Arabidopsis thaliana: one gene and its partner. The protein of the gene in region 2 interacts with the protein of the main gene of each other region in a biochemical or structural test. Each region holds a gene or a part of one and is shown on either strand. Other genes may lie near its edges. The genes, in order: SGT1B and PBS2.

Region 1 (5,297 bases), on a different chromosome or scaffold from region 2:
CAGCTATTGTTTTTCTGACAACTCAAGACTTCTCTGCTAACAAATCTGTCCAAAAGGATTTGTTTTTTGAAGCTTCATTAAGAGTCAGTCAATACTTATAAGTAGGAAGCTGATCAGAGAGAGATTGAAGCTGTTTTTGCTTCTGAATTCTTCCTGCTACTGTCTTTTTTTATTTTACAGTGTTGTTATAACTGTAAAACAGATCCATTTGTGGAGATTTTGTTTTTACTTTTAAGTTGGTATTTCAGTTAGTATTATATATATATATATATATATATATATGAACTTCCATAAAAGTCTTTCACAAAAACTTGCATGAAACAAATTATAATCTAAAATCACTTATGGTGACAAGACTGTTTCAATTGGTTGATACAACCTGCAAAGTGAAATCCTTTACTCTTGCATCTTATAACAAACTTGTAACTTAGTATCCTTCTTGTCTGAATCAGCTAATATATACATGAAGATGGAAAGTAGCTCTGATTTCGTGAAGACAAATTCTCTGCACCCAATTACTGTGGCGAGTTTGACAATGCTGGTGCATTGATGAGTGTTGATGATAGCTTAACATGTTCATTTCAAATCCTTAAGGCATTTGAGAAGAAAGAAAGATTTGGATTCAACAACAGTGTTCCTAGACCAGGAACCCCAAAGGTGAAAATACTGTCTCACTATATAGATGCACATCGGTTTTAACTAAAGAAAGTTGGGCTTATACAACTAACCTTTTAGACCACAATGCAATTATGTCAAGAAATATTTAGATAAGCCTCTCGATAAAAGAACAAAGTTCCAAAACAACAGACTTGCGAGTTTTAGTTTTCTAATACAAAATCAAAGTATCAGAACGTTCTTTGAGACCACAACGCAAGAATGGAGAGAGACAAATTCGAGCAGAAACCAAAAAAGAAAAACACCTTAAAAGTTCAAAAGATTTGTCAGACTTTTTTTTAACAAAAACCAGAAAAGGGGATTTTAAGAAGATCAATACTCCCACTTCTTGAGCTCCATGCCATCTGGTGGAGTGCTCTCCACTTTCTTAGTCCCAACTTCTTTCCAGTTTGTCGACAGTACCGTCCCATTCGACTCTGCCTGTCAAACCCAAAAACCACCCGAGAGGAAAATCTCATTAGTCGAAGAACAAAGCAGAGTTATTAAACCAAAATTTTAAAGACCAAAGATAGATTTGCTCACAAATGATTTGTTCATTGCCCGCCTCATGTCTTCATCTGCACTCGAGTATATGTCGCTGAAAAATTTGTTCATAGCTGCATCTCCATCAAGCTTCTCATCCTTCTCCTGCGAAATTCAAAAGTGATAAGCAGAAAGAACAAAGTACAGCAAAGCCTCTAGTGTTAAGGATGAGAAGTTAGCGTTTGTGGAACCTGTTTCTTCACTTCAGCTTCCAACTTGTCCCAGTCTTTTGCTGGCTTAGAAGATGGGTACACTGGTCTCTGCGACAGCGCTGCATATGCACATAAAATCAAATGAGAAGAGAGAGAGACCACTTTGGGTTCAGTTTGTTTAAGGTTTTACGATTGTGGTTCAGAATAAAATAGTAAACGTAAGCTGGTATCTTCTGAGACAAACCTGATGAGACATTGGGTTTGGGCAAAACACTTTGCCCTTTACCATATTCAAGGGAGGCCCAGGTGATTATCTCTGCTTTCGCAAGACGGATCTCAACTTTGGTCGACAATACTTCAAATCTGCACTTCTCTGGTATTATCTGAAAAACACCCATGAAGAAGGATTTAGTAAAAGTGTGTGTGAAAACACCGTAATTACATATGTCAAATAAAATATACCTTCCCGAACAATCTCGGCTGGAGATGATAAGCTTCCTCTCCAGCAACATCAATGACAACACTCAGCTGCACCAAAATAAAGCCAAGATAGACATCTCAAATCAATACAGTGTTAAATTACAAAGAGAGATAGTTTCTGAAGTTCAGATAAAAGTCATGAATTCTCTGATTGAAGGATACTCACAATCTGCTCACCAAACTCGACAGTTACGTTCTCCTTAGGTACTTTTTTGGCGAAAATTGTCACCACCGCTTCTTCTGGTTTCTGGTAGAACTCGTGCCTGTTGAGCAATAAAGTTATGAGTATAAAATGATTCTGGAAATTAAAGAAGAATTTACATGTTAGATAACCAGACTACCTGAACATCGGTTTGGCAGGTGCTGCAGGAATTGGAACAGGAGGAGCATCAGCTTCCGTTGCTAGTGGTGTTGTAGAGCTTGAAGGCAAACTCGGTGGCATCGGCTGAACCAAATCTTTCTCTTCTTCTGAACAGAGATACAAAGACTATATCAAAATTATAGCCCTAGGCGCAGACAAATACCCAAAATCGTTTAGTAACTAATTTCTTAAGCTATGGAGTTGATGTAACATACCTGCAATACGAAGATCGCATTCATCTATCATCTTCTTAAACTTTGGTTCATTCGGTGCAACAGAAGCTCCCTTTTCCAGGGCTGCTTTAGCAGTACTATATTCTTCTAGCTTCATACAAGCAGTGCTGCGAACACAGTAGCAAAGAATCAGAAGATAGAATTATAATTCCAATCAAATTTGAACATAACATCAAATCATTCACTACAGAGAGATGGTGAAAATATCATACCCCTTTCTGAGATAGGCTTTTGCCAACGTTGGCTCCAACTCAATGGCTTTGTTCGCATCTACAACAGCTTCTGCTCATAGAAACCACAAAAAGATAAAATATCAAATCAAATCATCAAACAACAACAATTCAATCAAAGTACAGTAACTACAATTACAATTACTCAAATAAGTTTTCTTATCCGAATCAACAACCTCACAAAAGAAACCCTAAAACTAAAACTAAACCAAACCAATAACAAAAATCAAAACTTTGTTCCACTATCAACAGATCGAATTAAAGTAACGACAAAAGAACAAGACCCAGAACCCCAAAAGCGTCAACGAAGCAATACATCTAATAAAGTTTCAATCTTTAACGATGATATTAACGGTAAGGAAGAGAGTTATATTTATACCAGTGAAGTTATCGATTTTGATGTTGGCCTGAGCACGATCGGCGAAGAAGGCGGCGCAATTGGGATCCAAGTCAATGGCTTTGGAGTATAAGTCAACAGCAACATCGAAGTCATCATCTAGAAAAGCTTCTTTAGCTTTCTCTGCTAATTCCTTGGCCATTGATTCTTATCAGAGGATTTGAGAGAACACAAACAAGTCAGAGAGAGAGAGAGATTATAGAGAAAGAGACCGATTCTATTCCTCTAGGCTTTTTTTTTTTTTGCTGTGTTTGGGATTTTTTTTTTCTTTTAAGAACGTTTTAATACCTCTACTAGGTCATATAACCAAAAACAAAAAGGTAATTAGATTTTATTTTATTTTCTAATTTCCTTTTGATTTTATTTTTTAACATAAGATTGATTCTTGATAAGTCCAGATTTTTTAACAAATAAATTAGTTGACAAAAGAATAATACTGAAAAAAGGAAAGAAAACTAATGGTAAAGATATTTATAGAGAACTACAATAATTTAAAATAATCATTTTCTACTCATTTTGTTTATATCGTAATCGTTTACTCATAGTTTAGCAAATACAATGTGATTTGTGAATTTAGACTATGATATATTTTAACAAGTTATAATTTATATATTGACTAGATTAGGACCCGTCGTCCAATACACAGATTTAAGTATTTTAAGTTGATAATAATCTAGTAAAGTTAAAATATCAATTATCAAACTTTTGCCAAATATTTACCTTAAAAAATTTATTTGCAACCTCGAAAAATCCATCTAAATATGTACAGATATATTTGTCGTGATTACTGTTACGACGTCGTTTACCAGTTCGTTCTTCCTTCTTCTCTCACCCCGACTCGTTCACTGACTCGGTCGATGCTTGTACCGCTTGATTCAAGCCGATGAAGTGCCGATCTGTGGCCTGCCTATGGTCTCGTGCTCCTCCGTCTCATCGGGTCACCGCCACAGCCTCTCTAACCAATCCACCGACTCTCTATACCGGTGGATCCGATGGGTCAATCATCTGGTGGAGCATCTCTTCTTCTTCCGAATCCAATTCTGTAACTCGTCTCCCTCATCATGAGATTAAACCGATTGCTATGTTGTGTGGCCATACTTCACCAATAGTGGATCTTGCTATTTGTGATCCTACAATACTTTCAAGTAATGGAGTTGTTGCATCAGATAATGGTAATGCGGATCCATTTGTTAACTGTTGTGCATTGATCAGTGCTTGTACTGATGGTGTCTTGTGTGTATGGAGTAGAAGTAGTGGTCAGTGTAGGAAACGAAGAAAATTACCTCCTTGGGTTGGAAGTCCATCGATTTTGTCTACTTTGCCATCAGAGCCTAGATATGTATGTGTTGGTTGTTCTTATATCGATGTTGATGGGGCTGAGACTTTAGCAGATACTGATTTTCAGAAGTCGAGATGCACGGTGGTTGTTGTTGATACTTACACTCTTACTATTGTTCATACAGTTTTCCATGGGAATTTATCTATTGGTTGTTTGAATTTTATGGGCGTGGTTCAGTTAGATGAGCAGGAATCATTGCTTATGGCTGATTCGTTTGGTAGGTTGCAGTTGGTCTCAGTGTCAGAGAAATCTGAACCGAGCAAAGGCTCTCTAGTGTCTAGAAACTGGTTGAGTGAAGGGGAAATTGCTGTATCAGTAATAACTCGAGGGGATCTTGTTGCGTTTTTCTCGAAGAGTAGGTGTGTCTTTTGGTTGTTGAATCGCGAGGAGGCAATAGGAGAGATATCTTTTGTTGATGATTCGCATTCTTCAAATTTTCTGTTCAAAGAAGCAATGATACTTTACTCTAGTACATCAACTATTGAAGGTGATAAAGATGATAGTATTTCTGAAACTTTTGTGCTGTGGGATGGTAGTGGTTCTGCTGTGCTGTTTACTATGTCATATATAGATGGTGAATTTACATATAAAAACTTCGGTGAGATTGTTACTGCCCCTGATGATAAGCGTTCCGTGAAATCAACGTTTTGTTTTGTTCAGTTGAGGCAGAATCTTCTTCGCGTTGAGTCTAGTTGTTGTGATGTTGAACAACCTTCTCAGTGGAGGCCCCATATAACGATCTGGTCATTGTGCCTAGGAAATGGTAAAGAAAAAGAACTTCAGCGCAAAGTGCTTGGAGAAAGCTCCTATTTTGCTGATTGGATTTCAAGCTCCTGTTTAGATCCCAAGGGCTCGGTTAGTGCAGAAACTGGTACTTCGCAGTCAGGAAGTCAGTGCAGTGCCAAAAA
Region 2 (4,465 bases):
TGACATCCATCTCTGTAGCAAGTCAAAGCACAGCTACAGAACTCACAAAAGCAATCCCCATCAGATTAAACCTCATCGCAACAATCACAAAGAGAAGAAATCATCGAGAACTTTTAAAATCTCACCGTACTCTCGGCTAATCCAAGCTGAATAATCCCATCCGTGTTCGTAATCCGATCGTACGGATCCGTTTTGACTCTCTCCAACCCAATGTAATAAGGCGAATCGGAAGGTTTAGCTACAGGAACTGCTCGGGAGGAGACTCGAACTCGTCCGATCGAGTTCCCGCGAGAGAAGAGATTAGTCCGTGAAAAAGTTCTCGGTAAGTCCGTCGGGTCGGAGGGAGGAGGACGGCGTCGTTTAAGGTAGAGCTGGAGAAAGTAGAAGAGACAACAAGGAATGAGAGAGCCGACGAAGAGACCACCACGGCCTTGAATTACTCCACGGAGAGGTACTATCAACCTCATCGGAAAATGCTCCGCCGCGGAGATAGTTGTTGCCTCCGGCGTTGAAGAGAGATTCGAGCCGTTCGTTGAGAGTAACGAAGTTGAAAAAGAGTCGAATAAATACAAAAGTTTTGAGATAAATTGGCAAATTATTTTTCCATATTCGCAATTTGTCTCTACGTTTTAAAAGTTGCTAAATAGTCCTTCTAATATTGGTGAAATTATTTAAAGATCTTCAAAGTTTTGAAAACAACAATCAAAGCCATAATCATGATCCAAAACACAGAAGATGAGCATTTAACCATTACATATATCTGTCAACTGAAAGGTTCTATAACAAATCTAAAATAGAATTCCATATGATAAGAAGAACATGAAAACACAATTAGAAAAGATGATTAATCTTTGAATCGAAAATCTCAGGAAAAAAAATATATCAGACCGCCGGATCAGGGCTGCTGCTATGCCATCCTTTAGTGCAAGGAGGTATTTCCATGAACTCGTCGAACTCCTTCACGTGAACATCGCAACATTTCCACTACACAAAGAAAACAGTGATATTCAATAGAAATTCAAACAGTGAAAGAAAAGGGTCACAAAATGATTGAACAAAGAACGTGTTACCCCTCTCAGTCTGTCGTGGAAGACCGCAGGACCTGGATGATGGCTACATGCAGTCTCATGATTGTCTCTCTCTTTGAATGTTTGGCCACATCCTTTGTTTTTGCAGACTTGCGGTTGATTAATGTCTATCACAGCCTTTTGTACTGGAGGCGCTAAGGGTTCAATTTTTTCTTCTTCTGCTTGTCCCGGTGTGTTCAGGGTCTGCTTGATCTGTTCTTTGGGTTGGGATCCTGTGTGGTAAAGAAGGACACAAAATTAGATAGAAGGTCATGCATGTAACCAATGTGCAACGAGAATTTAAAGACGAGAGAATAAAGATACAAACCATGGTCTGAGCAGAAGAAGCCTTGCCGGCATCTGGAGCAAGAGTCTTTTGTTGCTGCATTGGCATCTGGAGATGAAGTAGGAGCCGCAACAGGATGTTTTGGAACCGATTTGGCCAGAACTGGTTTCTCAGTTGTGTGTTTACCTGTTTTACATCTTCATTGCAAGAAACATCTTCAGTGTTTGCAATCAACTACAATATGTACCATGAAAGACAGAGGAATTATTATGAGGGGGTACAAGGATATTAGTTACCCTGGAATTTCCAAGAACAAACTGAAATCATGACTTCTTTGCTTGCAGCAGCTCCACTCTTTCATTCCGTCGTGAAAAAATGGCTGCAAGTTTGAACTTTGGTAGCTTTAATTCTCTGAGCAAGCGAGTGTGAAACAAAAAAAAAAACATAAAACAGTATTTGAAGAGTAAATTTGACTTACTCCCTGCTTGAACAAAAACCAGTAGTCAGTGCAAAGACCAGCCCCAGCCACACCGGAAAAAGAAAAGATAATAAAAGAAGATGAATTACAATAAAAAGCTCAAAGCAATAGATGAATATGAAAGAAACACTAGTATACAAGGCCAAATGTTAAGATGAATATTGAGATAAAGCCTTCTTTCTATACACAATTGTTCTAATTACACTTCCAGGGACAGTCTTAACGAGCTCTCTCCCTCACATAGCCATAACCGGTGGCAAAAGTTGGAAGCAAACAATTCAAAAGTCGCTGCATGTACGTACACTCTCCCTCACATAGCCATAAACGGTGGCAAAAGATCTAATACTTGGATTATTCAATTTTACGCAATATACTTTTGCTTTCTTCCATCAAGTGTTCTAATAAGCTCACAGTCTCACAGAATTCATAGGTTGCAAGCAAACAACTTAGTTAAAATTTGACAATTAGACAATCAAAGCTGTGTTCAAAGCTTACTTACTTACAACTAAATGAAATCTACATGTAATCAATCAGCTAATCCAAAACCTAATTAAACACTTGCGTAATCATCTTCTCATGATCAAAAATCGAAATTCGTAACCTCACATCATAAAATCAAATTCAAAAGCTACTCTATGGGTTTATCAGAAACTATCGAAGACTTAGAAAAGAAAGAGAAGAATCGATTAAAGATGGGGAGAGAAGAAGACGTACGGAAGCATGAAATTGACAAGAACCTTGAGGATTGTCGTCATCGGTGAACATGGCGTTGCAGCCAATACGTTGGCACTGAAGCTTCTTCGTTGCAGATCCTACTTCCATTATCTCTCTCGTGAATTTGTGAAGAAATCGGACGAATTGAGAAGGTAGGAGTAAAAAGTATTGGGAAATCAAATTAAAGGGCTTTTTCGTCTTTTAGAAAATTTTGACTTTTGAGTTTTGACCGGTAATGAAAACTGATGAGTAAAACGGGCCTCGGCCCAAATAATACCATGCAGAGCGGGCTTGGTCCGCTTGGACATTATTTTCATGTCCATAAAATAGCATGCGTGATGGATAATAAGCCAATATGTTACAGATTACAGGTTTTTAAAGAGTTTTATCCACGGATTTGTAGGTCTAACCCACAAGAGGAAAAATATGTTGAATGATGGGAGTGTTATTTTATAGACCTAAGCAAGTGATTTAAATGTCGGACCTATTTTGATGTTTTTGCAAAGTTTGTGCAAAACTAATCTTAATTATTTTGTTTTTCTATTTGTATATATTTCCGTCTCCAAGTTTGCTTGTATGGCCTATCCCCAAACTTCATCTACTACGTGGAAAGCCATGACTCCGGAAAATTCAATCTCCGTAATGGTGATAAGAATGGTAGATTTGCTATTTAACCAGCTGATACAGGAAACTCAACAATCTCACAAATGAAATCGAACTATAGATTGAAACGATGTTCATAAAACGCAGATTCACTTCTCACTATGCAAAAATCTCACATTAAGATTTGCCCGTAAATAAATAATATTAGTGAATTGAAGGAAGTATCTCAAACTAACAATGAGTAACAACCCCAAACACACAAGAAAGGAAGAAGAAGAAAAGTTTACAATTCTCAGATTTTTGCATAATGAAGAAGACGATGAACAACTTGATCTTAAGCTTGAGCAACTTCAGCTCATACCAATCGAATCCACGTATCTTTTCTTATTTCAACCAATCACTAAGCTCCACGTGTCCTCATATATGTGCTACTAAATTCCTATTTCACCAGCCTCTTACTTCATTCCACCTCAATCCTTTTCTATACTTTGATGTCATTGTTCTTCTAAGGAGGGTTCTTTTTTGTTATTTTTGTTGTGCATTGCAATGGATTTATACCTCTAAATTCATCTAGTTGTTGCTCGCACTTTAGATATGTGGAGTTTGAGCACACAATTATAGAACTCTGTGGTTTCTATTGAGATTCTTATTTGTGATGAACATTAAAGAAACAACAGCATATAAGGCTAATATCGTTACAACGTTTACACCAAGTAAAACAAGCTATAAGCGCTTGAACTACACAAGAAGGTAGTGAATACTAAATATATACGATATTACAAAAAATAAAGAGTTAAGAAAATACAAAAAGCAAGTCTTGGATCTGATTTGGTCAGTTTCAAATGTTTTTTCTGCCTCCTAGTTGAGTATATCGGATCAAAATCTGTTTTTTCTTCTTAAATCTTCAGTCAATGTACAAAAGAGAGATCACTTGGTTCTGTTATGTACTTCTATCAATGATGCTTTCTCCTGCAAACTCTACAAACAAAACTCTCAGTCACGACCTCACAAGTCAGTTTCCTATAATCAATACATCTATTTTCATTTTTATGTCATGTCTTATCTCAGTTCTTAAATATAAATAGATCTGGAAAAGAGAATGACCTCGTTCGGAGAACTGTTCTCAGAAGGGAACCATCGAAGCAGGACACCGAGGTTCATTGCACTCGGTATTAACTTGAATAGCAACGGAGTCGTTACCTGTAACAGCATTTTCAGGTAATCAGTTTTGAACTAAATATTATTTTAAGTATGTTCTCTTAGAATGGAAAAGGCTTGTTTGCATATATTAGGTAACTTACGAGACTTAGAGCAGTT

The links.
Region 1: the proteins of PBS2 (region 2) and SGT1B are reported together in a solved structure, tested with the Arabidopsis thaliana proteins (one study listed by BioGRID).

The regions. Positions count from the first base shown.
Region 1 is NC_003075.7:6,850,528-6,855,824, forward strand, and holds SGT1B (phosphatase-like protein), read right to left. Parts: upstream 3,386-5,297; 5' UTR 3,193-3,385; coding exon 3,033-3,192; intron 2,706-3,032; coding exon 2,636-2,705; intron 2,531-2,635; coding exon 2,406-2,530; intron 2,298-2,405; coding exon 2,171-2,297; intron 2,093-2,170; coding exon 1,996-2,092; intron 1,878-1,995; coding exon 1,812-1,877; intron 1,733-1,811; coding exon 1,594-1,732; intron 1,469-1,593; coding exon 1,389-1,468; intron 1,303-1,388; coding exon 1,198-1,302; intron 1,096-1,197; coding exon 988-1,095; 3' UTR 657-987; downstream 1-656. Other genes in the region: AGL52 (AGAMOUS-like 52), read left to right, coding at 1-40; AT4G11270 (Transducin/WD40 repeat-like superfamily protein), read left to right, coding at 3,934-5,297.
Region 2 is NC_003076.8:21,000,491-21,004,955, forward strand, and holds PBS2 (cysteine and histidine-rich domain-containing protein RAR1), read right to left. Parts: upstream 2,797-4,465; 5' UTR 2,654-2,796; coding exon 2,546-2,653; exon of another isoform or gene 1,835-2,545; coding exon 1,832-1,834; intron 1,733-1,831; coding exon 1,650-1,732; intron 1,551-1,649; coding exon 1,396-1,550; intron 1,301-1,395; coding exon 1,071-1,300; intron 985-1,070; coding exon 883-984; 3' UTR 654-882; downstream 1-653. Other genes in the region: ACS12 (1-amino-cyclopropane-1-carboxylate synthase 12), read right to left, coding at 1-33, 126-467; KEA5 (K+ efflux antiporter 5), read right to left, coding at 4,076-4,126, 4,253-4,348, 4,450-4,465.